Drosophila melanogaster: one gene and its partners. The protein of the gene in region 1 interacts with the protein of each later gene in a pairwise test. Each region holds a gene or a part of one and is shown in the gene's direction. Other genes may lie near its edges.

The links.
Region 2: the proteins of CG9727 (region 1) and Dr interact in a two-hybrid assay, tested with the Drosophila melanogaster proteins (one large-scale study listed by BioGRID).
Region 3: the proteins of CG9727 (region 1) and Oli interact in a two-hybrid assay, tested with the Drosophila melanogaster proteins (one large-scale study listed by BioGRID).

What each region holds. Positions count from the first base shown.
Region 1 is NT_033777.3:6,445,509-6,458,458, reverse strand, and holds CG9727 (uncharacterized protein), read left to right. Parts: upstream 1-1,782; 5' UTR 1,783-1,861; intron 1,862-1,951; 5' UTR 1,952-2,437; coding exon 2,438-3,201; intron 3,202-3,264; coding exon 3,265-3,507; intron 3,508-3,719; coding exon 3,720-4,155; intron 4,156-4,210; coding exon 4,211-6,610; coding exon of another isoform or gene 6,611-6,757; 3' UTR 6,758-8,515; downstream 8,516-12,950. Other genes in the region: Zif (Zinc-finger protein), read right to left, coding at 1-56, 158-292, 350-966, 1,029-1,172; gpp (grappa), read right to left, coding at 10,966-11,999.
Region 2 is NT_033777.3:29,552,353-29,562,216, forward strand, and holds the start of Dr (drop), read left to right. Parts: upstream 1-4,033; 5' UTR 4,034-4,283; coding exon 4,284-5,493; intron 5,494-9,864. UniProt on the Drosophila melanogaster protein: Plays a key role in the specification of proneural and promuscular cluster formation. Required for the specification of dorsal and lateral muscle progenitor cells. Regulates development of peripheral nervous system derived from lateral neuroblasts.
Region 3 is NT_033779.5:17,584,262-17,593,838, forward strand, and holds Oli (olig family), read left to right. Parts: upstream 1-4,922; 5' UTR 4,923-5,318; exon of another isoform or gene 5,319-5,950; 5' UTR 5,951-5,978; coding exon 5,979-6,550; intron 6,551-6,610; coding exon 6,611-6,737; 3' UTR 6,738-7,006; downstream 7,007-9,577. Other genes in the region: CG6870 (uncharacterized protein), read right to left, coding at 7,437-7,850; Sytalpha (synaptotagmin alpha), read left to right, coding at 8,063-8,072.

The sequences.
Region 1 (12,950 bases):
AGGCAAACGCTTTGTCGCACACCTTGCACACGTAGGGCTTGATGCCACGGTGAACACTGATCGGAAAAAGAAAAGTTAGTTATCTCTGTCCCGAACTAGGAATATATTTAAATGGCCCATTTTGAGGCCTCTCCGTGAGAATAACATTTCTACTCACTTTTCATGAGACTTGAGAACACTTTCGTAGAAGAATTGACGACTGCAGAAGCTGCACTTATAGGGTTTGCTGCCCGTGTGGGAGTACATGTGCTTCCTCAGTTGCTCGCGCACCTGGAACTTGGCATCGCATAGTCTGTGAAGGCGGGATTAGGGTTATCGCTTTAATATGAAATTTACCGACTCGACTTACTCGCATGCATATTGGCAGATGCCGTCATGGCGTCTGCGATGCTCCATCATCCGGCCGCGCTTTTCGTAAAAGTTTCCGCAGACGTCGCAGATATAGCCACCCTTCTCAGTGCCGTCCGATGTTGTTAGGGAGTTTAATCCGCGACGAACCCGGCCGCGCCGCGCCTTCAGGCTTGCCTTGGCCGCCTCCTGCAGCGCCAACTGCTGCGATGGTGTCTCTTCGTACTGCTTCTCAGACTCCAGGACGATCTCGGTCTGATCGGAGTTCATCTCGATGGTGTAGTTGTCCTCCAAGTACTCGATGGTGTCGCCAATGCACTCCTGCTGATCGCTGGTGTCCACTTCCAAGTACTCCTCGTGCCCCTTTTCTTCCTGGTGCTCCTCTTCCCCGGTGGTGGTCTCCTCCAGGATGTACATCTCCTCGTCGCATTGCTGCTGCGAGCCGTCCTCCTCCTTGATCATCATCACATCTGATTCGTCCAGCAAGCCCAGTTCCCGGCAGTACTCCTCAATCTCCATCTGCTTGCGCAGCGCCTTCTCGCGAAACTGGTAGGCCATGTTGAGTTCGACCTTGCAGGACTTGCAGATGCCATCGGGTATGTGTTCTCTGTCGTTCAGCTGCATGAGGGATGGATGGATGAATGGTCAGTTCGCATTGCCAGCTCTAGCGATTCACTTACATTGCTGTATGAGACTCCCAAAAGTTGAATCAACATCTCGTTCGGCGATTCCTCGCCTTCCTCGCGGATCTCGTCTAGGCGCTGCAGTCGCTCACTCTGCGCCAGGCAGACCCGGCACGTCTGTGGGGTAAGCTCGACGCGCATTCTGGAATCCTGCTCGAAATTTAATTTAAAGAACCGCTCGCGTAGTATTGTAGTGTTAAAATTTGTGTTGCTAAAGTGTTGTGTAAAGCGACTGAAAAAAGAAACGAAAAGACATCGCCATTTTCCTTACCAGGGCTGCATAGCATCGGCGAACACGATGTGGTTCATTTTGCTGGTTCCGGGAAGCGGATTTTTGGTTAAATATCTGATAAACATGTTTGCTGCTTGTGACAATACATTGGAAATATTTGTTCCTTTAACCATGGCTAAACGATATGATATGATAACTGAAAGTATTCCCCAGTGTGCCTATAAACACAAACAACTTGTAAAATGAGAAAGAAAATATTAATACTTCAAATATTCAAATATTATGAAAACAATTATATATATATTTATATATTTCTTTCATATTTACGTATATTTAGATAGAGTAAAGAATTCAATCATAAAAATACCAACGTCTTACATTAAATATTATTTAAAAAAAGGCCTAATGCGCTTAAATTTGCCTTATCAATAGAAAATATTATGTCCAATACTGACAATACATCTCACCAAAGATTTAATTTAGCTAGGAACCAGTTCTCTATGGCTCATTTTTTTGACCAGTGGCGATAACGATGACAGCAAGATCACTAAAAGACTAGCGTTGCATGTTTATCATATACAAGCTAACATTGCGTAAGGTGAATCTGCAAATTATATACAAATTATTAGTAATTTACTCATTTATTTATGCGAAATCGCAAATACAACACCGTGTTTACATCCGAAAGCTCTGGCAAAAAAAGCACATTTCTTAATGCAGCCGTCTGGCAACGCCACATATTTTTCGAGACGCAGAACGCAAGATATTTTCTTATCTCTCGTTAAAAAATGGATTATTTCGGTTCAATCGGTGCGTATCTGGGAAAATCGCATGCTCGTTGGCAGTAAAGAACGCCACGCACTTTCACGTCCCACGCCCAGCGCACTCCCGCCTGACGGGAAAATGGGAAAGCAACTATATCTGGCATCCGTATCTTCGTCCGTCGCAGCCGTCAAAATGTTCGTCGCGCCAGTTATCGACTCGGCAATCTCCATCTCCTAAGGCACACACACACTCAATAGAACGCAGTCCAGCACTCACACAGGCAGCCACCTACGTAACCTGGCAGCGGAAGCGCCCTTAATCTTGGCCAGAAACCACAGCAGGCAGAAAACAACGAGGGAGCAGCAGCAGGCGGAGGGAAACGGAGGCGCCGCTAGCACTAGCACCTAACATGTCCGAGAAGCACGGCCAGCTGGGTGCGCAGTGGACGAAATCAGCGGCGCCAGCAGCAACAACAGCACCAGTCTCCAATTCCATTCCCATACCTCAACCGATCCCTGTGGCACTACCCCTCCAGAAACCCAACGCCAATCCCTATGGGAACTGCAGCCTACAGCCCGCGGATATAGTCTACAGCGCAACCAGATTTCAAGGACCTGCTATCCATGCAAAGGGCTCTCCTTTGACCATTACGCCCGTGGGCCCTGTCGGCGGAGCACCTGCCTCTGCCCAGATCTCGCCCACGAGTCACACCCATGTACCTGTACCTGTAGCCACGCCCAGCGGCTTTGTGCCGCCTCCGTTTTCCAATGCCACCAGCGCCAGTGGAGGTGTCTCCACTTCCGTACTTACTCCGAATCCCTTTGCCACGGCGAGTGCAAATGCTGCTGGCCTGGCCTTTGCCAATGCCTTCAGCTTTAGCACAGCCCAGCAACTGGGTCTGGGCAAGATCATGCACGCTATGGGCGGAGCTACTGCGGGAGTGCCATCGGCGCCAGTACCAGTCACCACGACTCCAGCGACAGCTGCTCCTTCGACCCCAACAATAGCTGGTCCACGGCATCCGAACGAGGGCGTTCCAGCGGCCAGTGGAGTGATAAACTCCACCATTGCTGAAAACGTAATGAATGCTTTGAGCAACTCCAACTCAGCGGGATCAGTTCCCAGTGAGGAGAAGATGAGAAGGGTGCTGCAGGTGATTGAGACCAGCTTGGAGTAAGTGTTGTTTGAAGAATCCTATGTTTATCCTTGCTAATTTGTGTGCGTCTTCCCGTTCAGCGACAATGCGAAGCTGCAGATTTCACAGATTCTAGAGCGTGTCTCGGGACTAAAGCCCATTGAGAAGCTATTCCTCTATCTTCGTTTGCCTGGCGAATGCGCAGACACCGATCCGTTGAGGCAGCCACAAAATCCACTAGGAACGCGCTCGGAGATTAACCATACCATTAATTGGGTGCGTTCCCATCTGGAGCACGATGCACAGGTCTCCATACCAAAACAGGATGTGTACAATGATTACATGTGAGTTCTTTTCATTCTTATTCAAAGCATTATTGAAACTAAGACGGTAACAGTGAAAATGTATTTCATTCATTTTTCGCTTGAGAAGTCTAAATATGTATTGTATATACAAAAATGCTGCAAATCAGTTGAATAATCATACTATTACTAGCATTTTTTTTTTAGCATAGCCCTAAAATTAATAATTGGTTTATTTCACCATTCATTTATAGAGCTTATTGCGAACGCCTCAGCATCAAACCTCTGTCCACAGCAGACTTCGGCAAGGTGATGAAGCAGGTATTTCCGGGCGTTCGTCCTCGGAGATTAGGGACGCGTGGAAACTCTCGCTATTGTTATGCGGCAATGCGGAAAACCACCAAGCTGACGCCCCCGCAACTGCCGCAGCTGTGCAAGACGGAGCAGATCGTAGCGGGTGATTCCAATTCGGACCCGAGTCAGCTAACTAGTGCCTCCAGTTTGGGTGGCTTACCATCGACAGGAGGTGACTCTGAGTGCTGGGATGTGGTGCGCAGTTGGGCAGAAAAATTGCTAAACACTAAGCTAGAGAGCGTTGCGGATCTAAGCTCCCGTATCAAGAGCAACAATGCAACAGTTTCTACAAAAAAATACACTCCTCGGGAGCCCAAGGAAAAGCGAGTTTTAGCAGTAAGTATTAAAATATTCCCTAATTAGAGAGTCCTAATGCAGTATTCTTTAACAGGACATTGGACCTTTGAAAAAGCGGCGCAAAAAGAAACGCAAGGGATCCACGTCCTCGGAGTCCAGCTGCAATCAATTGGTAACTGGCCAAGACGCGGGTAGCAGCCAGGAGGCCAGCGACGAACAGATACTGAAGATCAAGCAGGAGATCATCGACTCACCCATTCATCCCCAGCAGCCTCCAATAGGTTATCTACAGCAGGTAACGCCCATGAACCTAGCCACAGATCAGCGAAGCAGTAGCGCTGTCCGCAACCTCACGCCCAAAATCCTGGAGATGGGCTCGCCGGCCGTAGTACTCACCCAGCAGGAGGTATCCCCCACGGGCATCGTCATAAAAGATGAGGTGGAGGACTACACCTCTAATATTTTCTGCAAGAAGGTTTTGAAGGCGCAGCAGACAAAGGGATTCTGGGCGAATTCTCCAAGCAGTGGGACAACGAGCGGTGTTGGTTTACTGGTTCCACCTACGATCACTACAACCTCGGCCACACCGCCACCGCCAAACTCTGAGACATCCCCGGTTCCGGGACCTGGACTTTCCATGGGCCCACCCTCACAGATGATGAGCACCAGTTCGGTGAGTCCGTCGAGCACTGTGGACACCACACCTAAAGTGGCCTCCCGAAACCAAATGATGATTCTGAGAGCCAAGCGTTTGATGGCAGCGGAAAATGCCGCTTTGGCAGCCGCCGAAGACTCTGGATTGCCTGAGAATCTGGGACTGCCCAGGGAGCGAGTGATAAGCATCTGTAACATGGACAAGCATGAGCTGGATGACTACTTTCTACCAGGCGAGGACGAGGAGAACTCCGAGGAGCCCGACAACGAGCTGCTCCAATATTTTCAGATGGGAGACGCTGAGGAAAAACAACTGAATTCCTTGGATGCTGCCGAACAGAACAAGAATCCACAAGAGCCACCGACGATGGGCTCTGCACCGGAGGCGATGCCCGCCCCCGGACGCGGAGCAGCAGTCGTCGCCGCTGCAGCAGCGATGCTGGCGCCGGTGCCGGCACCTTCGATGTTGCCCGCACAGGCAGGAGTGGGTTCTGCCTCAGCGTCTCTGGCCCTAATGTCAAAAAAGCATCAACAGCAGAACCAGCATCAGAACCTGCAATTGCAGCGTTCCAAGCAGCTGCCGCTTATCAGTAACAACAAGAGAAAGATCAGCCTCAGCAACGCCTCCAGCAATGGTAGCAACAAGAACTGCATTTTCCTACCAATTTCACCAAACACCAATGGATCAGTGACTACACCAACAGCCACAGGGTCGTCGAATCCCAGTCAAAATTGCTTCGCTAGTCCCGGGTTGACTCGGATGAAGCAAAGACCCAACTTGTTGAGCAAGCAGCAATCACTTGACTGCGACAACCGGGATCCCATGATAGGGGCTCATCGCAAGGGTCGAGGATATGTGTACAGCTACCCTACAAGCACGTCTGCCTCCGCACCACCGAGTCCATCGATTCTTCCCCAATGGATGTGTAGAAACTGGTCGCTAGGAGGCGGCAATATATCCAGCTTTGCAGACAGCAGCCACAGTGCTGATCCGCTGGTCAATCAGAACTCAATGGACCTGGAGACAAGTCTGGCGCTCACGGGAGAAAATGAGTTAGATACATCGGAGATGCAGCGCTCACAATCGGTGCCGTTGTCACAATTGCAACGGAGAGGCAGCCAACAATCGCCAAGCTTGAACTTCTACTCGGAGAACAGCAACAGTCAGCAGTCTGCGCCTCTAAAAGAAACAGGATTACTGTACGAGGAAGTGGAAGTAGACTCGCTTCTCTCAGCGAATTTCACCAGAAAGTTTAACAGCATAACCCAGCAAACAGCAACAACCTGCAGCTCCTCGGCGGGCTCATCTTCCGGGTACAGTAGTGGCGGCTCTGCGGGAATTGTTTCGCGATCAGTGCCCTCAACTCCACTGCCACATCAACAGCAAAATAGCCTCACATCGTTGAATGGAGGCGGTGGTGCAGCGTCCAGCGGAGGAGGTGTCATGGGAATCGGAAATGGGGGCAACTGTGGCGTCGGAAATGGTTTCTTCACCATCTCTGACTCGTTTAATTGGGAAGGATCTACGTCCAATAACAGTCAGTTGGGTTACGCACACTCCTACAGTGCCCGCAATTCACTAGACATATCCAAGTCTATGCCAACGACGCCCATTGCAACTCAACGTTTCCGATACAGTCCGGCGGAGGTGCACCGCGATTTCCTCATAAATGGCAACACCATCGATAGCTTACCGTCATCTGCCTTTGCAGGAGGAGTTGTTCCGACCGATCCTACGCTGGCACTCAGCACGGACACCCTCATCGACGACAGTGCCCCGAGCAGTGCAGATGTGGTTGAGGCCATGATTGGTGTCACAGGCATACTCGACGATTTTTAGAATTTGCATGAAGAGAAAGCCCAGGGGGAGATCGAAATATCAGAGCAGCAGGAGCCGGATGCGGTGGAGGAGAACGAGGTTCAGTCAGCTGCAAAAGAGGATGCCAATGTGGTGGCCTGTCTGCTCCAGCATGTGGACCAATTGTAAATCCCACTATCATCCGCCTACTGCCGTATTGATGTCTCGTTTGATTAGTTTGTGTGTTATATATTAAGTAGTCCTTTATTATTGTTCCTGTTCCGAGTATATGGAATTTCTGTTTTGCCTAGTATGAACCGAAACTCGATATAATTCAGAAACTGGTTCATAAGCCTCTTGACGTCCCCCGCACATGAGCTTTCTCTTCGTGCCACGCGCTAGCTAAGAAACCCTCAACAAAATCCAATCTTCCCTCTGTTTAAACTAATCAACAGCTTAACTGTGCCTCTTATTGGTTTCAAAAGTGTCCAACATCATTAGAGGTGTGAGCTTGAGCCGACTTCTTTAATCTAACGTTACCCTCAGGCCTTGTTGTATGTATGCAATTGGCATATTGTTATAATTACTAAACAATAACATTAACACGCTGATGACGATGGTGGGGCAGCCAGTCCGTTGCTGCCCCTGCTGTATGTAGTGCATAGTTTTATTGTTGAACAACATTACAAATGAAACGAACTTAAAGTCTGAATGAAGGAAACGTGTGCAGCGGTTTTAAAAACGAAACAAATTTACAAAATGTATCTGTAAACGAATGTACATCTAGAACTATAGAACCAAACCTCGGCGCTCGACGAGTTTGTCTTCCTGCGATCCTCGGTTGTACATATATAAGTATATATATCTATATATTTCTAGAGGGATTTCCACATGGATTTTAAAGTGGATCGCAGGGAGCTAGACTCAGTTCAAAATTGTCAAATTTAAATGTGTGTTTGTATGGTGTTGTAAGGTATCGAGAATAACGAGCTTCGTCAATTGTTCATCGACTGGTTGGGCTCCTAGGTGTAGTCCTTTGATTTTTCTTATCCAACTCCGATCGACATATTCTATTTGTTACACTATATCTTTATCTGTCAATCTTGAAAACATTTAATTCTTCTATTAGTTGTAAGTGTTTGTTTGTTATAACTGTTTACTGTATTTGTTTAATTCGCGTTGGTCGGTCCGATCTGCGCTTAGTACTTTAGTTGTCCTGTAAATGAATTTCGCACATGTGTAATTCGAGTCTTCTAATGCCTAAATTTCTTGTTGAAATGTCGTTTCTTGTGCCCAGTTTACTAAAGTCTTTATTTTCGTTTTAGCGCTTTGAACAAAGTTTAGCCTTAAATCTTCTTATTCATAATTCACATTGCAAATGAATGTTAATTTGTTTGTAAAACAAAGTAAAACATTACCGCTAAGCTATTTTTGTTTTTTTAAAACATGATTCCGCTTCTGTGACCAGATGTTTTTAAAAATGTAAAGAAAATAAATCATAAATGTGCCTCAGGCTTTATTGTAAAACAATTATATACCACAACAAAAATATAGATACAACCATACAAAGATGCATTAAAAATAAAAAGATAGCTACGTATACACACTTAAATAGATTATTAGAACGTTATACGAGTATAATTAAATATACACTCATTTACAAAAGGCAAGGATAGGGAATCAAATAAATTCGTTAGAACCTCAGATTAAACAATAAATGCATATTTATAGTCAACAGGAATACCAATACACAATAACCAGAACAGCACCCAGCCTAAAATAAACATTGTCAGCTGAATTCTAAAACTAAAAGCAAAACTTTTAACGATTATTTATTTTTAAGCAGCGCCACCTACCCCGCATACCGCTTTGAACAACAACCAACAATATACGAGTAACAATAGCAATAGTCCTAAGGTAAATAAGTAAAACATATTGTCACCGGGAACACTTTAGAGGAGATATATGCAATTATACAGAAACAATGCATTCAAGTTAAACGAACCAAAACTGTACTTTTTTATAAGATATTTGAATGACATAAAATACAGATAACAGAAACGAAAATGAGAGTATTTATTGGCTTGGAAAAATGTCTTGTTTTTTTTTTTTAGCTGTAAGGATATGGATATTCATTCTATAACCAAACACATTCATTGTTGCAACTCACAAGCTTGAAATTATTTCGAATTTAAAAGATACCAGGACGACATGCAGAAGGATTAAAATGAAATGTTTGGAATTTAAAAGTAAATTTATACAAAATATAATACTAAAATAGTATAAGGTGCGGCTTTTTATACCAGTTACTTGAATTATCTTTTGAACGGATTTCAAAAAATGAAGTCTCATCTGAGGCGAATTTTCTAGATTTTTTTACCCGATGCTCGCAGAGTAAAAAGGTACAAGTATTTATCAGCTAGAAGGAAAAGTTTCTAAATCTTATTGATCAAAACCACAAGGCGAGTTGATCTGTCCATATCCGTCCGCTTTTCCGTCCGTTTGTCGGTCCGTATGAACGTCGATCTATTGGCAACTATTAAGCCTTTTTTATCTTCGAGTCCGACCCACATAGCATACACCAGGATATTCGTTAATTATATGTTAATATTTTTTATTAAACGTTTAGGTTTAAAATAATAATATGCAATTAATATTTGTTAAATATACATAATAATACCTTTAATTGTAATATGCGTGTGTGTGCTCACTTAATGTTTTCCACTGTTTCTTCTCCATTCGAGAGTTTTACTGTTACGTTCTTTCTTTGCCGGTTTATACATTTTACATGTAAATTTAACTATTTAAGATTATATTATTTTATATGCATTTTACATGTTATTTATTTACTTGCTCAATAGCGCCACAATAATATTTCATTTCCTACAACTTTTGTTGGGATCAGTATAATAATTTACGTATAAAAATCATTTTGCGCCTTGATGTACAAACTTCTGTCTTGACTGTATGTAGGTATTATTTTATTTACTCTTTTATTATTCATATATATTACACTACGCTAATAGCACATTTGAAATTCCCTTTATTCGCTATAAGTACTGTTAATCATATAAGTTTTATAGTTCTTTATGTTTTGCTAAATATTTGTGGGTTATGCTTGTTTATTAAATGCTTGTAAATCATTTATTTCTCTGTTTACGGCTTAATTGGTTTCCTGATATTTTTAGCTCCCACACTGCTTGCTCGTATATAATATATATGTATGTATATATCTTGTATATGCCTGCTATAATATAATATAATTTATAAAATTGTTGTTTATCTCGCTGAGGTGGAAAATTCTTTAATTTATAAGGTTACTTGTCGTTCTGCTTTTGCTGCTGTTGCGGTTGCGAATGCATGTTGCATGTTGCATGTTGGTTGTATACGTTACTAATTCCACTACTTCAGTTTAGTTTTATTGTATTGCGATTATTATTTAAAGTATTTGTATATCCACTGCTTGCTACTTGAACACCCCAGTACATCGAATACCTATCTTTCTACACGCGAGCTGAAATATAAAAAAATTAAAAGTAATAAAAACGCCTAAAAACTTTCTAAAGATAACTTTAAATTGCTTGTGCCAAACTTGGATATACTTTCTGTATCGTAAACGTGCTGCTCAAAAATGTAAATACATCGCTAAGTCACTTAGCGCAAAGTAAATATTTGCTACACTGACTTTTTATTATCCTTATGTACATTTTATTAATGGAAGCAACTTCCCTTCAATCTATCTCGTCGTCTCAAAAACTGGAAAGGGTTTGGAATTTTAGGGTTGGTCCCAATTCAATCTCGCGAAACTCGAACAGCATTTTTGTTTTACTTTTCTAGAACAAAACCAAGCGAACAAGAAGAAATAATGAACACAAAACTAAATCGGTGTAATTAGTTTACAATTTTATTTTGAAATAATAAAGACAAAACATTCAACTTATGGACAAACGTAATTAAACAATAGTTCAAATTAAATACATAATCATAGTAATTGGTAATCGGTACAAAGAAATCAGTAACATTGTTCATCAGCGCAGTTGCGTTTTTCCGGTTCAACGTTATAAAGTATTACGAAAAACGTCCCTAGACTAATTAGAATTATTAATGAAATAAAAACACACTGGTGAAAGGGGAGCTGTTGGATAGTAATTATCAAATAAAACAAGGCAATTGGAGAGCTGGGCCTTACAATAAGTTAGCTAGTCATACACAATTCATTTAGTTAAAATTACAAAAAATCTTTTATCAAATACATTACAATTCCGAGGATCCGGGATCCGATCCGTCTGGACCCATTTACAAATAATCTGGCTAAAAGCATGAAAGCTTTGCATACTTTTCTGGATTTCTCTCTGTCACGCTCCATTCAGCAAATTGAACTAAATTAGTTTACTAAATTAATTACTCGTTGTGGTGGCTGAGTTGTTGTTAATGTTCATGTTGTTACTGGCGGCCAGCAGCTCGCCCGTTTGGCTCCGACTGTCCATTGACCAGTCCCAGTCCTTGCCCTTTGGCCGAAATTTGGATGACTTGTGATGGTGCTGCTGCTGATGGTTTAAGCCCGTGTGGTGCGGTGAAGACTTTTCCTTGGGTGACTTTCCCGATTTTCCCAAGAGCGGTGCAGGTGCTCCGCCCACAGTATTGGGAGCATCCAAGTTAAGTGGCCCATTGCCCGCTGCATCTGCTGCCGTCGGCGGTGCACTGGAGTTGGAGTAGGCCAGCAGTTCATCACAGTCGTACTCCCAGTTTCTTTCGCAGAACTTCTTTTTGTAGTGCTTTTCCGAACTGGTCTTGGACTTGCGCTGGTACTTCAGAGGTATACCACCTAAGTCCCCGGACACGGGTGGTCCACTGGCCAGTGGTGGAGTGGCCACACTGGCTGCACTGGGACTGGGAGTTCTGGGCAATCCAACGTCCGAGAGTGGCGGCGACTCGATGGCACTGGGATCCACTGGCGACACGGTCTTAAGGGAGCTACCAGCATGCAGCGAGGAGGATGCCGAGGATTTCATGCTACTGTCGCTCATGTGATCGGAAAGATGGTGCTGCTGCTGTTGGTGCTGCGCCTGCAACTGTTGCTGTTGCTGATGTGGGTGGCTGCCTCCGCTGCCGCCAATGCCAATGTTGTTGTGCTGGGCATGATGGTTGTAGAGGCTGTTGCAGCTACTACCACCGCTTCCTATGGGCAGCTCCAGCTGCGAGGAGCTGGACGAGGTGGACAAAAATGTGCGCACTGCATCTGAGTTGCTGCTGCTGTGCGTAATGCCCGAGTCCGGAGACGTGTTGCAACTAATCGAGGCCGGCACGGTATCGCCATCGATGCTTCGCCTGGTCTTATCCAATTCAGTGCTGGCGAAGGCCACGAGGCGGTCGAAACCAGAGCTGACTCGATGCTGCCAGTGGGTCTCATCATCAGCGGCAATAACATCGTCTGTGAAGAATTAGGATAAAATATTAGTTTTATCTCGCTAACGCGACCAATACTAGTGCGATTTTTAGATTTCGTTTGGGTGATGGTGATATTGTGAGTTTGAGTGGATATTTGGAAAAGTCAATTGGAAAGGGTGATAACGATACACTGGCGATAACGCGTGTTGTCCTAAGCTTTTTTCATATTTCATTATCTTTTTGGTACAGCTGCATTGCGCGTTGCGTGCAGGAGGGTATGTTCTTGTGTTCATTTGTATTAATGGGTGTTTTTGTGTTTTATTTGTTTAGTGTGGTGATTGAATGTTGAAACAAAGGAGTTACGTAATGAAAGTAAAATATATAAATCATAATTAAAAGAAAGAAACCAATTAGGCGCAACAGAACTTACCTCATGCTCGTTAAATTTTCATAAATTTTGTTCGGGATTTTTAAGTATATATATATATATATTTTTTTTTTTTTTTGGCATATAAATTCTGTACTTTTAGTAGGTAAATTATTAAACGCAAAAATTAAAAGTTGTCTTTTGTAGGTTGTTTCTGATTTGAAATCTTTGTTTTTCATCAGGTTTTTTGTACTCTGCTTATTATTTATGGTTATTACAAGATCGTATCTTCGCCCAACAACAAACATGTTTTCGGTTTTGCTTTTTGTTTAGTTTGTTTGAGGAATTTTGAGGTATGCAAGTCAATCAATCAATCAATTCAATTCAATTCAATTCAGTTCAATGCAAGTCAATTCAATGCAATCGATCATTGGTTATTGGGGTATTGTGGGGCAACTACTACTACTATCGGCCATAACATATCCGTTCAGATTTTGATTACTATGGGCAGCTGATAGTTTCGTTGGGCCAGACAAAGTCGTGCGAAGGCGACGTCTGGGATCGTAATTAGTTATAGTACGTTGCGTTGCCAAATCGTTAACTGTATGGAGTAGAGCATAATAGAAG
Region 2 (9,864 bases), about 23 Mb from region 1:
TAAATAGAGTAAATACAAAATGAATTAATAAAAATGGCAGCAAAAAATAATAATCATAAACGAGTTTGCGACGCACGACCAGCTTTTTTGTTCGCCGCTACAGAGAAAGAAATATATGAATAATTATATCAAGAAAATTTACTTTGAATAGCTTATATGTTTCAATCATATTTTTATTATCTAACTTCAAAATATTCTTGTTTGTCTTTTCTTTTTTAAGTCATCCTTTAAACACGATTGTCATTATACTAATTATAATCACTTAAAATCAATTAAAAATTATTACGTTAATTATTTTTTGACTGTGTGTAAGCCAAGAGGGTGAAATAAAAAAATTAAAATAGAGCAAAAGAGCGCTGTCAATCAGCCAGCCAGCGATTGGGCCCACATCCACGCAGATCCACCCACCCACCGAAGGCAATCAGTGCCAAATCAGAACTTTATTTATTTGCTTGTTGTTTGCCAAACATTTACGCCATCAGCAAAACGACACCCGAGAGCTCGTTAAATGCTCAGCCATGCGGATGTAATTCAATAAACGAGCGTTCTGCGCCATCATCAACACCCCATCGTTTAGTATTGTGTGTGTGTGTGCAGTGGAATGGCCCTGTATGGGTGTGTATCTGTGTGAGGCAGCCGCAATTGCCACAACAGCCGCTGTGACTAAATGACTGACTGACAACCGCAGGGTTTTGCAAGGGGATGGTTTATTTACTCGGCGAACAACCCCTCGAAAAGCATCGCATCCCCAGGATCCACCATCTCTTTTCGTCCTGTGCTGTGGCGTTTATTGAGCCGAGTTTCGCAACAGCCTCGTCCTGCGTCCTTCGGAAATTTCTGAACTGTCAACATGTCAACTGTTTGCTGGTCCGCTAAGGTTATTTCTGTGGGTGGAGTGGGTGGCTGGGGTGGCTTGGGTGGCTTGGTTGGCTCTCTCGCTCTTTTCGCTTTTTCGGCCTGTTTAAGCGATTTAACGCATCGCAAGGATAATGAAATTTTGATTATGCGCCGCTTGGCTGGTTGTCCTGGCACAGTGCCGCCCTCTGTGGGGCGGATTGCTGGCTGGGTCGCTATGAAATTAGCGTCGTTTAGGAGGTCCTTTGAAAATTGGGGAACGGAATTAAATTCGGCGAGCTGCTAATTATCGTTGGAAAAGGATGTTTGTGCAGCTGTATCTCTTTCTGAGTTATTTAATTAGAAGAGTGCTTAAAATGTTAATGACTTAGTGCCTTTAGTTTGAATACGAGTAAAAGAAACTATTAAATTTGATCATTCCATTAATAAAACAGAATCTAGCGCTGTTCTCGTTTCCAGCTGGTATAATAAACAATTTGCCGACTGGGTAATTGCTCACTCTCGGATACAAACAATTATGCAATTCAATTCGGAATTAATTGCACAATAAAACACCAAATTCTCATTTAATTGCCTGACAAAAAAGGCACACAAAGCAAAGCGGCAACCCACATAAATATGCAACACCCACACACAAACACACACACCCACTCAATCATGGCCAACTACATATATACGTCCAAATAGCCCCACCTCTCATTCCGCAGCCATAGCTTCTACAATCAAACTGGAATCGGAATCGGTCGGCGGGATATATAAATTCGAAAAATTATGAAAAACTATCAAAACATTTACATACGCTCGTTGCGGGGAAGGAAAGTGAGGAAAACGACGTGATCTTTTCGATCCACGCACTTAGTGTTGGGCAGCAGGCTTTTTATTAGCCAAACCTAGCTAGTTTTCAATATGTTTCAGTTAAAAGTTTTCAAAAATTAACAGAATCTGTTCTAAAGCATATTTCTGAAGTTATTTCAAAGTGAACATAATATTTCTTGTTTGTTGTTTCACTGCAAGACATAACAACTTTATTGGGCAAACATAAATTGCACATTTCTAGTCACATAAGGTGAATATTTTTTTAATATATTTTTTAATATTTTATTAGCTAGTTTTTAAAATCTATCGCAGTCATCACTGCACGCACGCAAATCGGCGGCCATTTATCAAATGACCAACTTGGCCGAAGCGTGGACTTTGTTGGTGCTTTTGTTATTGGCCGACTTGCTGCTGCTTTTGCCGGTTTCGTTTCATCTCGAAGTGGTGGGATCGAGAATAGGTGGGGGGAGTGGAGGGGGCTGGAGCTCGCTTATGATGTTTATTGAAAAATTAATTTGCGCCTCGTTGTTGTATTGCTTTTTTTCGGCGCTCATTTGCGTATTTCAAAGCGCAATGAATAATGATGGTGGTTAAGTAGTGGAAAATAAAAGAAGAAACGCTCGACGTGCTTGGCCTGAGAAATTAATATTTGTAATTGGCTATAATTGTTTATGCCAACGGCACAAAGTATAGAAAACGAGACGCAGACAATGATATTAACGAGCTGAGGGGCCTCTCATCGCATTTTGCCGCCATTTCGAAATGTTTAATTGAAAAGAAAGCGGAATTGCCGGGCATCGTAATGAAGAGCTCAAGTTTTGGGAAGTTGGAAAAATTTTAATCAGTCAAGAGGGGCGTTGGAAAAGTGGTAAGAGGTATATCAAGTGTTAATTGAATGGCTGGGAAATGTGAGAAGTTCATAAACGAGTTTACTGTCTTGGTTTCTTTTAAGTGTAATTAAAAACGATTTCGGAAAGAGTTTGAAAAAAGTTCAGAAATTATATAAAAATATTTCTAAATTTCACCCAACCCATTTAGGCAAGAACTCAAATTAATTGGCTAGAATTTCCCCAATCATGCAGAGTCGTTTCATTTTCAGCATCGTTTGCAACTAATTAAGGCAACCACACAGCCATTCGTCAACTGTTCTAATTGAGCTCTTTATTTTCCACCCACTGGCAATTGTCATTAAAATCCTTTCACCAACTTGCCGCCCGAAAAGCCGAGCGAACCCGCACAATCCGACGCCCATTTCCCATTTTCACAACTTGGTCCTTCGAGCAGCGGAAAACAAAGGAGCAGCTGAACAATGGCTGGCAAAAGTTTTCAAGCCAACAATTTCACATAATAATCCTTAAAATGAGTTTAATTTGTAGAGCGAGAATTATAAAGGGTGCGGTATTCCCGCTCCCTCCCTCACTCCACCCGCCAACCTTGCAATTTATGGAGCTTATGGGGGTTGGCAAAATTCTATATAATCCTGCATATTTCACATTTATATGTATGTGATTGATTCGGCCGGGTTCCCGGGACGTTCGATTTATGTGGACCGATCCGATTTTTATGGCTTATCTCCTGAGGTGGAGCAAAAGGGAAGAAAAAACATAATTTCCTGACCGAGATTGCAGCTTTGCGATAATGCCGCTCCACCCGACATTTGATGCTTTTGGGGCCCTGATAATGATGGGCTTATTATTTATTATATTGTTCTTGTACGCTAAGGACATGTAGGAGTGCCAATTAAAATTGAAAAACCGCCTGGTCTATATATACATACATATATATGTACATATTAGGCGTACATAAAGCTTAAAAAATCACGCCAATTTGGCCAAATGAAGTCATAAACGATAAAGAGGGAGATAGAGGGAAAATGGAGATGGAAGGAAAAGCCAGAAAACCAAAGTGGAAATGGACAGGCGTTTGCCGCCGCTGCTTGTTATAAAATGCTAATACGCGCAGCAGCTCGAAAAAAAAGTGGAAAAACGCTTTGAAGATTGAATTATTCAATAATAATTAGGCGTGCGACAGGGACGGCTATACTGCGGGGCAGCTACACCATCTCTGTCTGTACGGCAAGAGTGCGGCAAACTCACCACACTGAAGCGAGAGCGAAAGAGAAAAGAAGGCGGAACAAAAGTCAGAAAAGTGGAGAAATACAAGACTCACACCGGAAAAAAAGAGCGAGCGAGCTAGTCTCGAAACCAATAAAAATGGTGTCGCACGCGGTGCACTCCACCACGGGAGTGAGAGAGAGGCACGCTCTACACAGCCGGTTTCCCACCACCAATCGTCGAGTGCGTCGGTGTGAGTGAGTATCTGTGTGGCAGGCAGCGGTGCATCCGAAACTGCGACCACAGTTTCAGTCGCAGAACAGACGTGATCTCAAGAGGACGTGTCTCTCTCTGGAAATAAATAGCCCCTGAAAAGATACAAAACGCCGCGTGTGACAGTGTGTGTCTGTGTTTCCCAAGCGTGTGACGAACGAGCGCATTAATTGAAAGATAATCAAAACAAATTAACAGCAGACCATGTCTCAATGAACCAATTAACCGGCGCACCTAAAGCACAGTATTAACGAGCCACAGTTACACAAACGATCGAAAGGCTTTATGTTAAAGCTCAGCCCAGCGAGCATGACAGTTACAGGTCTGCGCCAGACGATGACCAGTCCCACGGTGCCGCCGAGCAGTAACACTCCCGCGGGTAACCTCATCATCACCAGCAGCAGTAGCAACAGCGGCAGCAACAGCGGCAGCAACATGAGCAGCGGCAACATGACCAGCAGCAACCTGACCAACCTGAGTCCTAGCCACCCGGCTGGCCTGAATGCCCTGGCCAGTCCCACCTCGCCGTCGGCACTGCTGCTGGCCCATCAGCAGCATCTGCTGCAGCAGCACCAGCAACACCAGCAGCAGCAGCAACAGCAGCAGCAGGCGGCGGCGCTCCAGCTGGCCGCAGTGCATCCGCCGGCCCACCATCTGCACAAGACCACCTCCCGACTGAGCAACTTTAGTGTGGCCTCTCTCCTGGCGGACACGAGGCCCAGAACGCCACCCAACCAGGCGGCGGATGGACCCCAGAACCTGACCAGTTCGGCGGCCACCTCGCCCATCTCCCAGGCCAGCAGCACGCCGCCGCCTCCGCCGGCCAGTGCGGCCGCCCAAGTTCCCGCCAACACCTTCCATCCCGCCGCCGTCGCGCACCACGCCCACTTGCTGCAGGCCGCCCACGCGGCTGCGGCGGCACATGCCCAGCACCAGGCGATGGCCGCCCAGCTGCGCCAACAGCAGCAGCAGGCGGACGCCCGGGCCAACTCGCCACCCGCCTCCACGAGTTCCACGCCCAGCTCCACGCCACTGGGATCCGCACTGGGATCGCAGGGCAATGTGGCCTCCACTCCCGCCAAAAATGAACGCCATTCGCCGCTGGGCAGCCACACGGACTCCGAGCTGGAGTACGACGAGGAGATGCTGCAGGACCACGAGGCCGATCACGACGAGGAGGAGGACTCCATTGTGGATATCGAGGACATGAACGCCGACGACTCGCCGCGCTCCACGCCCGACGGCCTCGACGGCAGCGGCAAGTCGCTGGAATCGCCGCACGGTCCGCCGCCGGGCTCTCACATGCAATCCACGATACTTTCCCCGGCGGCCCTGGCCTCCGGTCATGTGCCCATCCGCCCGACCCCCTTCAGTGCACTGGCCGCCGCGGCGGTGGCCTGGACGGGAATGGGCGGTGGAGTTCCGTGGCCAGGAACCAGACAAATGCCGCCCTTCGGACCGCCTGGCATGTTTCCGGGAGCAGGATTCGGTGGAGGTAAGTGTCGTTATCCAGTTCTTTGTGGGGTTTTTGTCAGCTTGTTTTCGGTTTTTGTACTTCCTAGAGGGGAAATGATAAACCTTATCTGTTACATGTGCTTAACTGTCCTGTCCTAAGCGATATTTTAAACTCATTTGCAATGGAGGATTCAGCATGGGCATAATTAAATAATGGGAAAATAAAAATATATATAGGAGAGAATATAGAACTCAAAAGGTTTACTTCAAAAAAAATAAAAACAACCTCAACTCTCTTTCGAAAATATTTTCAATTTAGAGCCTTAACATCAAAGTAAATATGAGTGTATATATAGTTACATTTCATATATTTATTTATAATTAACTGTAAACCCATAAACATGAACTTCTGAACCCGTGAACAATAGAAATACGCGAATTCCGCTTGGGAGCAAATTCCCCATTAGCAGCCAGCGATGTGTATTCAAAAACGATTTATTTAATGGAGGAATTTCAAACCACCCACCCCACCCCTCATTGTTTTATGCCCCATGTGCGGTGGCAACTTTATCTACACCATTTTGTGTCGCATTTTAATTCAATTAACTGCCGCCCCTCGCCTTAATTGGCATCGATGGTGACTCTCCGCTCCTGGTCGGACGCGAGCTGCGGGTGCTCCATCATGGCCACCTCGTCGTCATCGTCATCATGGCTATGGAATGGAAGTGATCGTGACTGCAGTTTGTAGTCAAAGTGCGTGGCAATTATTGCGGGGCCTTAAATAAAACAATGAAAACTGCCTGATTGCGCTGGGCCCATTATTTGATGATGATGATGATGATGATGGCTGATGGCTGATGATAGTCGCGTCGGTTCTGATTTGACTCAATTGGCCACGTCTGATTATTCATTGCACTCGCTGGCCAGCGGCGTTTTTCGGTGTTTTCCGGTCTGACAGCCAGCCAGCCCCCCATTACCGTTCCCGAATTGGAAAATCTAATAATAAGCGCGTAAAAAGCGGACTGTCTAACCGACCAGCCAGACTAATTGAAGCGAGTCTGGCTGTTTAACTGGGCGATCTCTATCTGCATGCACAGTTCACACTTTGCCTGCATTTCCTGGACAAAAAGCACCGCGGGTCGTAGGGAAAAACTGGTGGAAAATCGGGGAAAACACTCGACAAGTCACACTTTGATGCCGGACTGACATGTGAACTTTACTCGGCCATCGCGAACTCTGCGTTTCCGCTCCTTAAAGTTGCTCAAACACATTCGAAAAACTCGGAAAGGGCGGTGCAAAAACGGTGGGCAAAAAAGTGTAAATTTGCTTTTTATATGCAGAACAGCAACTATTGTTCCTGTTTTTGCTGCATATGCTCGGGTTTTTCTTGCCACTACAAAGCATTGTTTTATAAAGCTGTCGGCTGTGTTTTGAAAAAAAGGGCTTCAAATGGGGTGTTGTATTAGGAAATTTGGGCTTTAAAGTAGGTTAGTTCGAGTATTACCATATTACCGCCTCATTCAAACTATTAATACATGAAATTCCAGAACTGCATCTCTAAAAGTGCTTTCATAAATTCCAAAATATTTCAAAAGGGAACTGTTCAACAAATCGATATAAATCAATCTCGATGTGGGCCATCAATTCACCGCCCTTCATCAACCACTTGAGCTATCTTTCGTTCCTTCCCTATAAAGATGCCGAGATGAATAAACTATTCCAAACATTTGCCGCTTATTTTGTCATTTGGCTGTCAACTGCTGCATGTGTATAAAATACAGTCGAACAACTTCATTTCATTTCATTTCGTTTCGTTTCGTATCATTTGGCAGCTGTTTTTTTATTTTGTGTTGTTTTCTGGCCCTCAGTCTCGGTTTCAGTTTCTGGTTCCTGTGTTCAGCGTGTCTCATTAGCGCAGCAGGTTGCTGTCTTCTGTGGACTGATGATCCCCTGTTTTTCCGGAGGGTTTCCCTTCTGACCTGCGCCGCTATCTTCTGCGGCATTATGTCAAGTGTTAGGTACTTAGTGCCTTCGGCAAATGCTTAACTGGTAGATACAGGTTGTATCTTTTGGCTACCGTTTGTCGGCTACTTCATGGACTATTAAATTAAGCTACCATCGATTAGAGGGAACACACACACACACACACATAGTCAGTCGGCTTGAAGTTGTATGGTTTTTTGCCCTGCCATTTGATTAGCATCTTCGTGTTGCAATATGGGGAATTCCCTTTGTGCCTTCATAATTTAACTAATTGCAAGCGCAGTCGAGTCACGTATGCTGCACATGCCACCCATTTTTGCCCCCTTTAACCCCTCGACGGCCCCTGTTACTCAGCCACCACGCATTGCAGCTGCAATTCTTGGCAGCCATTATAGAAATTAATTTTCAAGCTGAACAAACGAGCAACAACTTGGGAGTCATTGCATAAATACATAGAGCCAGGCACACACACACATGCACACTATGCTTTATGGCAAGAGAGCGAAAGAGAGAGGGCGAGAAAACCTGGCCAAAACGGTGGGTGTGGCATGTCAGCAACGCCCACCCAAAACACGCAATTTTCAACAGCAACGGCAGCAATTTAAACGTTGACAGACGGCTGCTGGTTGGCGAAAAGCGAGAAGAGGGTTAAGGAAGACCCGGTGCTGTCGATAAGTGGGCAGCGAGGGGTTAAGGGGGCCGTTTGCATGCGTTTTAACACCATTTGCAAGGCTCCAAGCCGAAAGAGTCAAAAGCTAAAATAATATTTGCATTCTGCACGCCATCTAACGTGCATACGCTGTACTAAATACACACATGCAACACAGCAACGTTGGCGAGGGGGGGTGGTGCCTTCGAGGGGGCGTGTGGCGGCGCAGACATTTTGATGTATGTTTTGGTAAATAAAATTTATTTGCATTAAATTACCAGGCCAGACAAAGCGAAGGTGCTGGTGCTGCGAATGGTGATGGGTTAAACGCGGTGGCAGTGGGGTCGTTAAGGGGGGGAGTGCTAAGTGTGTGTGTGTGTGTGTGTGTGGTGGTGTGTATCTGTTAGGTTGAGAAAACATTTGCTAAATATTTGTAGACAATTGGTAGTTCAACTAATTTGAGCTGCCTGCTGTTGGATGTTGCTGCTGCTGTAGATGTTGCTGCTGCTGCGCTTGTTGCTGTTGCCGTTGCTGTTGTTGCTGCGCTGCACCTGAGTAATTAAATAGCGTTTGGAAGCTGTCATAAGAGGTGGCCTCACCCAGCCCACGGGCTATCCGAGCACTCTTATCTTGCCCAGAGGCAGCGAACTTCATTGCAAAACAGTCCAAATAGATACTATGTGGCACGCAATGTGACAAGATTGCAACAGAGTGGGCAGTGCAACAGCACTGAGCGAAATAGTTGTAATAATACTAATCGAAGCAGTCCGTGTAAACTCATCGCTGGCAACTGGTTCTTGGCACGCTGCCCACTAATTAATTGACCCGTTTAACCGGTGCGCTAGTTGGCCAACTGAGCTCCCTGCGCCCAGGACCTTCGGCTAATCATTCAGTTAGTGGGTAAACACCTATTTGGAGCTAATTAAAATCGCACATTATGAAATCGGCCTGAGGTCCCAAAGCGATTGCCGTTTTGACCGTAAGCGTGTAATTGCATTAGCCATCCGGCCAGCGATCTGTCCAATCCATCCACTCCATCCACTGCATCCAATCCTAGTGCACTCCATATTGCTCAACGGTTTTCACTGCAAAAACGCTACTGGATGTACAAGACGTGGATGTGGATGTTGCTATGGTGCTATGCGAAAACGCTTTAATGAAGAATTAATTGCCAGCAATTTGCACCGCACATCAATCGAGCCTTGTCACCGCCGGCTATATAAAGCGATTGCTTTGGATATTTGGTATTGGTATTGCTGCCGCTGCGATCGGTACGCGTAAATTTCACAATTGCTTGTTGCCTGTCTCATTTAGCAGCTGTTGTTGCTGCTGCTGCTGCTCGATGGTCTTATACGATGTCGCGGCTACAATACACCGGAGAACTCAAATTAATTGAAAATCCATTACAAACATAGGCTAAATGTCACAATTGGCGTTTGTGGCATGTATTTTGCGCTGGCAATGGCGACGTATTGCCCCAGCCGCAGCAGCAACAGCAACAGCAACAACTCGCAGCAGCAACAATGCCTATAAAAGAGCAAAAAGGCGAAAACGAGTCTCGCACTCTGGTTTCAGCGTGCGTCTCCATCTTGCCCCTCGAGCCTCGAGTTGTTCAGCTTTTCCGCAGGTTTTGCAACATGCCACAGTCAGACGGTGGGCGGGGCAAGGGGGCGTCGAATCCAGCTCACTTGCTATGGAAACCCCATTCCAACAATTTAGCGACAAATGAGCAATTAATTTTGAAATAAATGTAAAGCAAACCGAATCGAAACGAAACGA
Region 3 (9,577 bases), on another chromosome or scaffold:
AGGGGCATAATCAAAAATGCGTGTGCACCACTCGGCCGAACGACGCATAATCCCAAATCGCACCGAGGGGCATCAGCAACATCGGCTTTAGTACACTTTGAAAAATAGCTAGCTAATTAATTCAAATTAATTGATAAAGCTAACGGAACTTGAAGTCCTTCTTGCGAAAGAAGGAAGCTACTAAACGATACAGAAGGTACACGTTATAATGTTTCGGAAATAGAGAATATAATAGTATTCCTTTTCAATCTGAAATAGCCCATGTGACTTTGGTATACACATTATATTATATTATAATATATTATATTATAAACTAAGTTTATATAAAGCCTTTATATAAGTATGATGTTACTTACTTTTATTATATTCTTTTGTTATTATATATCATATAACTTTATTAAATAGTATTAATTTGTATATAACATGCAAAAATATGGACTTGAAGACACCTGTAAATTGTTTTATTTAATGATTATGATTTATGATTTCTATTTGTGTAGTCCAGAGACCCTGAGGTGACTCAGCTGACATTTATCGAGCTGTACTTGGGCATTGTTGGGTCCATCCAGACTGCGTCTCCTCCTACTGATCCACCCACGGACCATCGTCCTTCGTCCTGTGCCCTCGGCCCTCGCATCAAAGTTGTGCCCTTTGTTTTCGCCTGGTTCCCGGTTGCGTGGTCCTTTCTGTGTCCTGTGCGTGGTGGTCCGGGCCTGCGATTTTTTTTGTGTTTTTGTTCCATCCTGTTTCTGCTTTTGGTGTTCGGTTTGGACTCGAGCTCTTCTTTTTCGACTTCCACACGGCCACCCTGCTCCCTTTTTGTTTGTGTAACATTCCATATCCATTTGCAACAACGCGCGCAAAACAACAAAAAAAAAGAGAAGCGAACAGAATAAAGAACCGAAGGGAAACCGACAAACAACCCCTTTTCCACCCTTGGGGGTGGTGCCGAATCCTCAGACTCGTCCTCCGCCCCAGCATCAGCAGCATTTTAATTCGAATTGGTATTGCTCCGGCACTGTTATTGTTGTTTTGTAGCTGGCTTACCACCCCAATCCCCTCTCTCTGGAAAAGTCCTGGGTTCAGGTTCACCCTCGCTGTTTGGTTTCCATTTGATGCTGATAAATTGTAAGTACGCCTGGGTGGGCAGCGGGGTGTTAAGGATTCGCACTGCGGAGGAAGTTGCATACATCGCATAATTTGATAAAATATTGCACGCTTCGCCCTTTGTCTGAAATTATTATTATTTCGCTTCTTTTTTTATTTTTGGTTGTACGCAGAGCGCATATGATGGGCATTAGATGTAATCAATAAGAGCTCGACGCAATCCATTCAGTTCGGCTAATGGATGAGAAATCCTATCAAAGTGGCGAAATCAAATTCTGTGCGTTACAGTTTCCTTTTTTCCGAGCCACGTTTTGTGTGCAAATCGGTAATAATTTAGAGTGTGATGGCTTTCACGGGAATTACATTAAAACAAAGCGAACCGCACAGTATTTTGGGATTTATTCCAAAGCGGTATACTTTTGTAGAACCTATACTAAGAATCTGTGGGTAACTTGCATCAATATGAACAATTAAAGATGAAAATCTGAGCAAGTTACGTCTAAGGTTAGAAAATCATGGACTTTTATCAATTTTTGCACACAAAGCCGACATCAAATCTTTCCTTTTCTGACATACCAATAAAACAAAATCTTCCAATTGCTTTTTGTATTTTGCCTTTGTTAGCTTAAATGGGCCAAGTTTATCTTGGCTTGAAGAACTTGCGGCAAATGGCAAATGGCGAAAGGGCATCAAGCCTGTCAAGCCGGAAATGAGCGATAAATATATCTTCATTCGCTTCTTATTTTGAACGCAAGTCGGCAGCGATTTCCCCAGCGTACAATTGGCACATTTTTTGTATTTCGTTGACGTCTGCCAATAAAAGTAACAAAATAAAATATGGCACTGCCAGGAGTGCGTTCGTGTGTGTGCGTGTGTGTGTGACTGTGGCCTGGGGATCGGAAGTGCTACCTTGAAAACGATACGCTGGGGAATCATTAGGCGAACCGTCATGGCTGCCATAAATATTGCCAATATAACGAAAGCACATCGATAATAAGGTTAGGAAGCCATGCTCGTATATCCAGGAATCAACTGAATCTCCGAAGAGAGGACAAGCCAGGGCGGAGGGCAGAAAAAGCCTCTTCATAAATGTGCCCAATTGGTTTTTCAACAATAAAATGCTAATGATTGATTCACATTGCCCCATGGAGTGCCGTTAGTTCGAGCCAAGGCCCCACAGAGCCAAGGATTCTATGGTTTTGTCTAATTTGCGCATACCCAAACATTAAATTGGGGTTTTCAGGCTTTTGCATTTGTAATTTTGCCTGACGAAAAAGTCAGGGTTGTAAGTTGTCTAAAGCTCGAATGAAAGATACCTTAAAACTAAAGTTCAAAAGCATTTTCCATGATATTTACTGTGATATATTAAAAAACTGCATTAATAGTTAAAAAGTACATTGAATAATTTAATAAAATTAGTTAACAGCGTCACAAAATGAATAGAGCCACTTATGTCCATACCCGCGGTGGCTTAGTTCGAGGGTCATCCATTAACCCATGACAACCCTTTGACGGATCACGAGGTACGAGCCAAAAAATCCCTGGGCTGGCCATTTACAATTGGTCCGCAGTGCGGAACCTAAGCTAATGATGACTGGCATGCACAAATGTACAAATCTTAATTATGCAAATCACGGTCGCGCATAAATTATGCAAATTATAATGAAATTCCTCATTGCCTTTGCCGGACCTGGGATCCGGGAACCCGGATACGGAACAGCGACAAATGCCCATATATATGTATATGGATTGATAAAAATGTGGCCATAAAATGAAAAAACCGAAAATTTAAATTTCGGCTGGCCCGGGGTTGAAAAGTCGAAATGATTGTGTTGGCCGTAGCTGAAGCGCCGTAAATTGCAATGTAAATGCTGCATATATAAACTGAATTAGTCCCAGAACAATTACAACAAGGGAGAGTGCACTGCGATTGCAAATATACCCGATTCCGATCCCGAGCCCGAAACCCAAAAAAAAAAAAAACTCTCACAATCACGCAGCAAATGGTGCATTGCCTAGAGGGGCTGTCCAGATTCCGGATTTCATTGAAAATAATGGCATACGGTGACTGCTGCCCCGAACATCTGACACAATAATTTTCCCTACGAAAGGAGGGAAGCGCAAACAAAGGCCAAATGGAAAAGTTGCCAGCGCAAATTATTAAATTTATCATGCGCGAAGTCATTAGGTCTGTCGCCCGTGCTCGTAGTTTGACTTATTCTAAGGACTAAACGACTGCAGGCAGCTCCACGCACACACACTCCGCCACTTATACATAAATGTCCTGCGAGGCCCGAAGTGTGGAAAGTCATTAGTGGGCATTGCAGTTGACAGGAGGATGGAGATGCTGGCTTTGGATAATAAACATCTGCTTTAGCTATGGAACTTGTAAAATAACAAAGTTTATAACTTTAAAAGAGGCATCTTCGAAAAATTATTTCAAATTTTGACTTAACAATTTACAAGTCGATAAAAAAAAGAATGTTCACAGATTTTTTCGATTAAATTTTATTATTAAAAAAATTCTCTATTGATTGATTTTAAATATTTATCAGAGCAGCACTAACAAAGAATCTTCATCGGACGACTTTTTAAAAAAATGTTTGATTTTCATGATAATTTTGTTAGGTTGTCATTTAAACAGCGGATTTCTAAATATTTCAAAAAATATTTCAATTGAAAAACACTCTTATAATACTCTTAATTGAAAAATGTGTCCTTTTATATTTAAATTAATAAAAATATACCCACACCCAAAGATTGCTTAAAACTAATAAATACAATCAAATAAATAAATATGTGGCCTAGATCTGCCTAGCACTTCCTATCATTTTCCATACCTTTTTCTAGCTTATGCCTTTGCCAACGAAAATATTTGGCATGTGCCATTTATGGCATTGTTCCAGCTTTGAACAATGCGATACCATAATTTCCAGGCAACTCGCAAACGCACAAACTCGCTCACGTAGAGAATGCCATGCAGATGCGGCATCCTCTGAGCTATGCTGTATATGGGCATATAGGCGAAATACTAGGATGCACGGGCTATGGACGGCTATTCGTGGTCCTTGTTCCTCGTTCAACCCCCTAGGACAGGAATCCAGGACTGGCCAGGCGGCCCAGGATCAGCAGGCAGTGAGCATGTGATTAGATTCAGTTTCAATGGAAATTGAAATCACAGACAAAGGAGCGGACCCGGCGGATTCAGGGTGCGAGGGGTGGTGATGGGCCATCAGGGTTGAAAAGGAGCGAAGCGATAAAAATCCTGAACAACAAGAAAAGTGAATTTTCGGACAGGCAGGGCAAAGGCATTAAAAACTTCATACACTTGTAAAAAATTTGACTGCACTAAATAATATTCAACAATTAAATGCAACTTTGAGAGATAACAAAAGTTTTTGGTTTTCGTTACAATCAAGTGTGGTTATAGTTAATTATTACTTAACCAATTGAAAAATGCAGACTTTTATTTAATATACAAAATAATGATTAATAATGAATAGATTATTAATTAGTATGATTTTATACCATTTTTAAATGCAAATATGTAATTGTTAACTTTTCAATAGCAGATTAGATTTATGTTAGAAATTATTATTATTTTGTGTAGGGTATATCTGATGCTATATGTTATGTTTCAAAAAGGTTTCGATCATTAGTAATCATTTTTTTTTCTTAGTGCTGAAACTGTGACTCATTCACCTTTGTGAGTATTGGTAATAATCGTGCTGTATGTATTGGTGTGGATGCTGCATTATGCGAAGCCCAACCACTAAACGTCAACCACCGGCGTCGACACCCGACCCACATTTTATATAGTGGCTCATAATATTCCTTCTGCAGAAAGAGATTAACACCAAACGGCGACGGTGGCGTCGGTGGCAAAAAGTTTATAATCATCCTCGCTGACAGAGCGAAAGAGACGGGCGATTGGAAAGCATAGGCGGAGGCAGGGAGAGAGAGAGAGAGAGTGAGCGGAGAAAATCGGAAAATCGTTATGCGACTACTATAACCCACCACAAAATCGCGGTCGTCTCTGTTGTTGCCGGGCACCTCACACTCGCGCATCGATTCCGATTGCGATTCAGGATCTGAATTTTTTGCCTGGTTTGTGGTGCGTGCGATTTTTAAAAATGTTTAAATCCGCAATTTCTTTCTCCGTGCTCTGTGCTCTTCGTCCCCTTCGTACACCGGCGAACTTGTGATTTGTGGTTAATTTAAATTAATAATCTTTTAAGTGTGTCATGAATTAACTGCAAGTTAAATAAAGTGCTGCGTCGATTTTGCATATTTTATAATCCATTTCGTTGGGTTAATAATTGCCAAATTTATTATTTATATATATTGACGTATAATTTTAAAGTTTATTGTTTTCTGAAGTGCTGCGCTCCTAAATAAATTTAATGCCGCTAAAATTGTATTCGCCATGAAACATCATATTAAACCATCCCTTAAATTGGACTACTACACAGCGCCACCTATGAAAAGCTTTGATAAGCTTATATTCATCTTGTTAATCTGACTACCGCGTAATATTTTGGCTTTGAATTTCCGAAAGGCTTAACGATTATTTTGCTTTAATTAAATTTAAGGAATACCTGACAGACGTTTGCAATTTGTTAAACCATTTCGGGTTAAAACACAAAACAGATGCTCCACCTATAAAAAGCTTTGCTAACCTATTAAATACATAAAATTCCGACAGATGGCGCTACCGAACAGCTGAGCATACGAGTATTCACCCCTATTTTTTAGTTTTCTTATGCAACCCTGCATCATAATAACTTTGATTTGCAAGGACTACCCTAAAAGATTACACATCCCTTCAACCTTTTTTTCACAGCTGGAAAAGTCCCATAAAATACAAAAAAATGGATCCCTCGAATCTTGCTTTTGGTTTTCCCGGTCTCCCCAACCACGGACACATGCCAATACCTCCTACAGCCAATATGCTTGGTGGCCAGCATCCAGCACCCACCGCCAGCCCACCACAAAGCGTCCCCGGCCGTCGGACGCCACTTGGATCGGTTGGTCTGGGTGGTTTCTATGCCCAGGGAATGGGCATGTCCCAGCAGCCACCGACGGATGAGAACAAACCAGGGCCCAGTGCTCCGGAGAAGCCATTGAGTCCCACGGCCGCCGCCATCGCAGCCATTGCCATCAGTGGTGGCACCACCACGGTGGCCGTGTCCAGTGGTGGCGCCAGCGGAAGTGGCTCCAACAGTGGCAAGCAGAAAAACCGCCAGGGAAAGACGGTAAGGCTGAACATAAATGCCCGGGAACGACGAAGGATGCACGATTTGAATGATGCCCTTGATGAGCTGAGAAGTGTGATTCCCTATGCCCATTCGCCTTCTGTGCGAAAGCTGTCGAAAATAGCCACCTTGCTGCTGGCTAAGAACTACATTCTGATGCAGCAAAATGCTCTCGAGGAGTTGAGAAGGTAACGTAGTTCATTACCACGCTCAATAGGAATTATTAACATATATGCTTTTACTTTTAGACTTTTGGCCTATATACAAAGCACCACGGGAGCAGCGCCACTGGATTTGGGTGCATTTCCGGCGGCTGCCAAGTTGCAGGCTCTTCTTCAAGGACCTCACAACGAACCACCGACTAGCAGCAGTTAAATAGGAGTGGGGGCCACCATAAACTATGGTTCAACTGATAAGCAATCCATTAATGAGCAATACTTTTAAGTCAATTGGAAAGCAAATGCCAAATACTTGTGTACTAGTCAGACGAAAGGAGGTTGATAAGGAGCCTCTTATCAGAGCAGCCAAGTGAAAATCTGTTCAGTGATATTTATTTTTGTCATAAGCATTTCTTATTTATGCATTTACCCAATGTCAACCAATATGTGTAAGATGAATATTACCGAATAAAGTATTATTGAAGTAGAAAGTATGTCGTTGGAAAAGGGTTTGGTCATTTAGGTTTACCCATCAGCACTGATAGAAGCCTGTCATTTTTCAGAATCATCAAACAAACAAACAAAATAAGAGTTTCAAATACTCAAACACGCCCAACCCAACCAACCATTTATAGTCATCAGATAACAAACATCAAAGAGCACAATCAAATTTAAAATAATATAATCTTAGATCCGTTTCAAGTCTTGGCAAAAATATTTAACATATAAATATACATACATAGTTGTCTGTATGGTTTTTGATGATTAAGCAAAAGCCGTTTAGCGGAATTCGAAATAAGCGGATTACAACTAGAAAACTAGTCGATGAATACTCTAAAAATATATATATATATAGACATATACGACATGGAGGACGGCGGCGAAGGCGATCGGTGCAAAATCGGCTGGCATTATATTATTCCGGTATGCCCAGGGACAAAACCTTGTTTTTGCCAGTGCGAAAAATGTGCTGCTTGGTGGGCAGTTGACCGATCAAGAAATCCTTCATCATTTCGATGGCATCCCCCGAGTGTCCTGTGCCATGGAAGGCGATGGTGGCATCTCGCCCTGCGTGATCCATAATGACGTCGTCGCCGCCGGGATGATCCCTTAGAAAGTGTGTCACATCGTAGACCCTATCGTAGATTACCACCCAGCAATCGTCGAAGCTGTCGTGCTGGGCCACCTCCTCCAATGCGATCTCCGGCAGATCTTCCAGTTTTAAACGTTCCTTTTTGCTTGGTACAACGACCACCTGATTACTGGACTTTCCATGTCCCAAGGGCACAATTCTCAGCGATTGCAAGAGGTTCGTCAACGCGGATGACATGTTGTAAGTATGCAATTACTTTCACTTTTACTAATATTTGATACAACGATTTGTAATGCCGCCCGATCACTTCAGACAGCCGGCAATCGATTCAAGTTGAGTTCTGCTTGGTCGGCTTCAGTTCCAGTTTTACTTGGGGTCTTGAGTGTCTTTCGTGTGCAGCCACCGGTACTGGAGTGTCATTCATGCCTTGGATTGTAATCGTTTTATAAATGACAACACGTGAGTCGATCGATGGAGCCGACAGCATGGTGATAAGACTTCGTGTCCAGAGAAGCGAAGCTCTTATAGATCGGTTTCTATATAATATATAATTATATATATATATATACATATATGTATGTTCAACCGAACTGGTTTGCATCTACATATGTTCATGGGAGGGCTAGGCATTGCACTGAGATTGCGAGATTTTGCAATAATGTTTTGTGGTCACTCGTACTCATATGAGTCAATTTCCGAATATGCTCGTAAAGACGAGCATAAATTATATATTTCTCTGTTAATCGGATTGCTCAGTGAGCTAATTACTTGCTACCTTATAAATTTAATGGGCCAGCAATTATTAAAAGGGAGACATTTAACGCGCCTATCAGCATTACAATTGATTTATTGGCACAAGTCAAACGTGCATCGGGCGAATCAATTACGTCTACTCGAACCGTTTGATCGCCAGTCATTAAGGCAATCAAAATAAATTTTGGGTTAATAGCCTGGAGTTATTTACTTTTAATACTTAAATGCGTTTTAAGTTTGCCAAAAATCACGATTTGTGTCAAGCCACGTTTGTTCTAAATTCTAATGGGAACAGAGATAATGACTTCAATATTATCGCTCACTACAACTTTGAACTTGAAATTGGAATGGATTCGGAAATTATGCCACGCTTTTGAACTATTTGAACCATGGGAATGATTTTAATTTTACATGGAGTGAGTACGTTTAATCAATAATTATTACGAAACTAAAGATCTGATGAAATTATTCAGACTATTTAATTTCCCATTTATTAAATTCCAGACAGAACGCCATTCACTAATTCTGTACATTGTATTGTATAAATAGAAAATATTGCAAAGCTAAGGAAATAGTTCAAACTACGCAATATAAAACATAAATATTATTCAAGTAAAAACAACAAGAAATTATTTCTAAATAATAACTTTTAAGACGTCACGATTCAATTGTTATTGATCATTTATTATTTTCAATTGAGTTCAAGTTTGATGTGTGGTTTTAACAAGATTTGGTAATCTAATATGCTAGCATCTCAGTGTTAAGATCAGCATTATCACGTTAAGTAATTAACCGCAAAAATATTCAAAGTCGTAACTGAACGAGCTCTTTAAATGGGCTAAACCATTTGACTTTGACTTTGAGGTTTACATGAACTAGGTGTATCCATATTAAATATCTATTGATGGTTAGAAAAAGCCTGCGAATAGCATTGCTAATAAAAGGCAGAATATATTTCAGTTCTAAGAGGTTATCATTCTAAGTGTGCGTGATTGCGTACATTTTTGAAAAAAACGCGAATCTTTCTTCGACAAGAATATTTGAATAATTGCCTAGTGTTATCAGAGTAGTCTAGAAATATGTAGGGGAAGAGATTATAATTTAGTTCTGGCGATTTTTTGCAAAAATGTTAAGATAAGGCTGAATAAGTACTAAGTACTTTCAAAACCATTGTCAAGTCCACGGACGGAATTAAAAGTGACTATTCATTG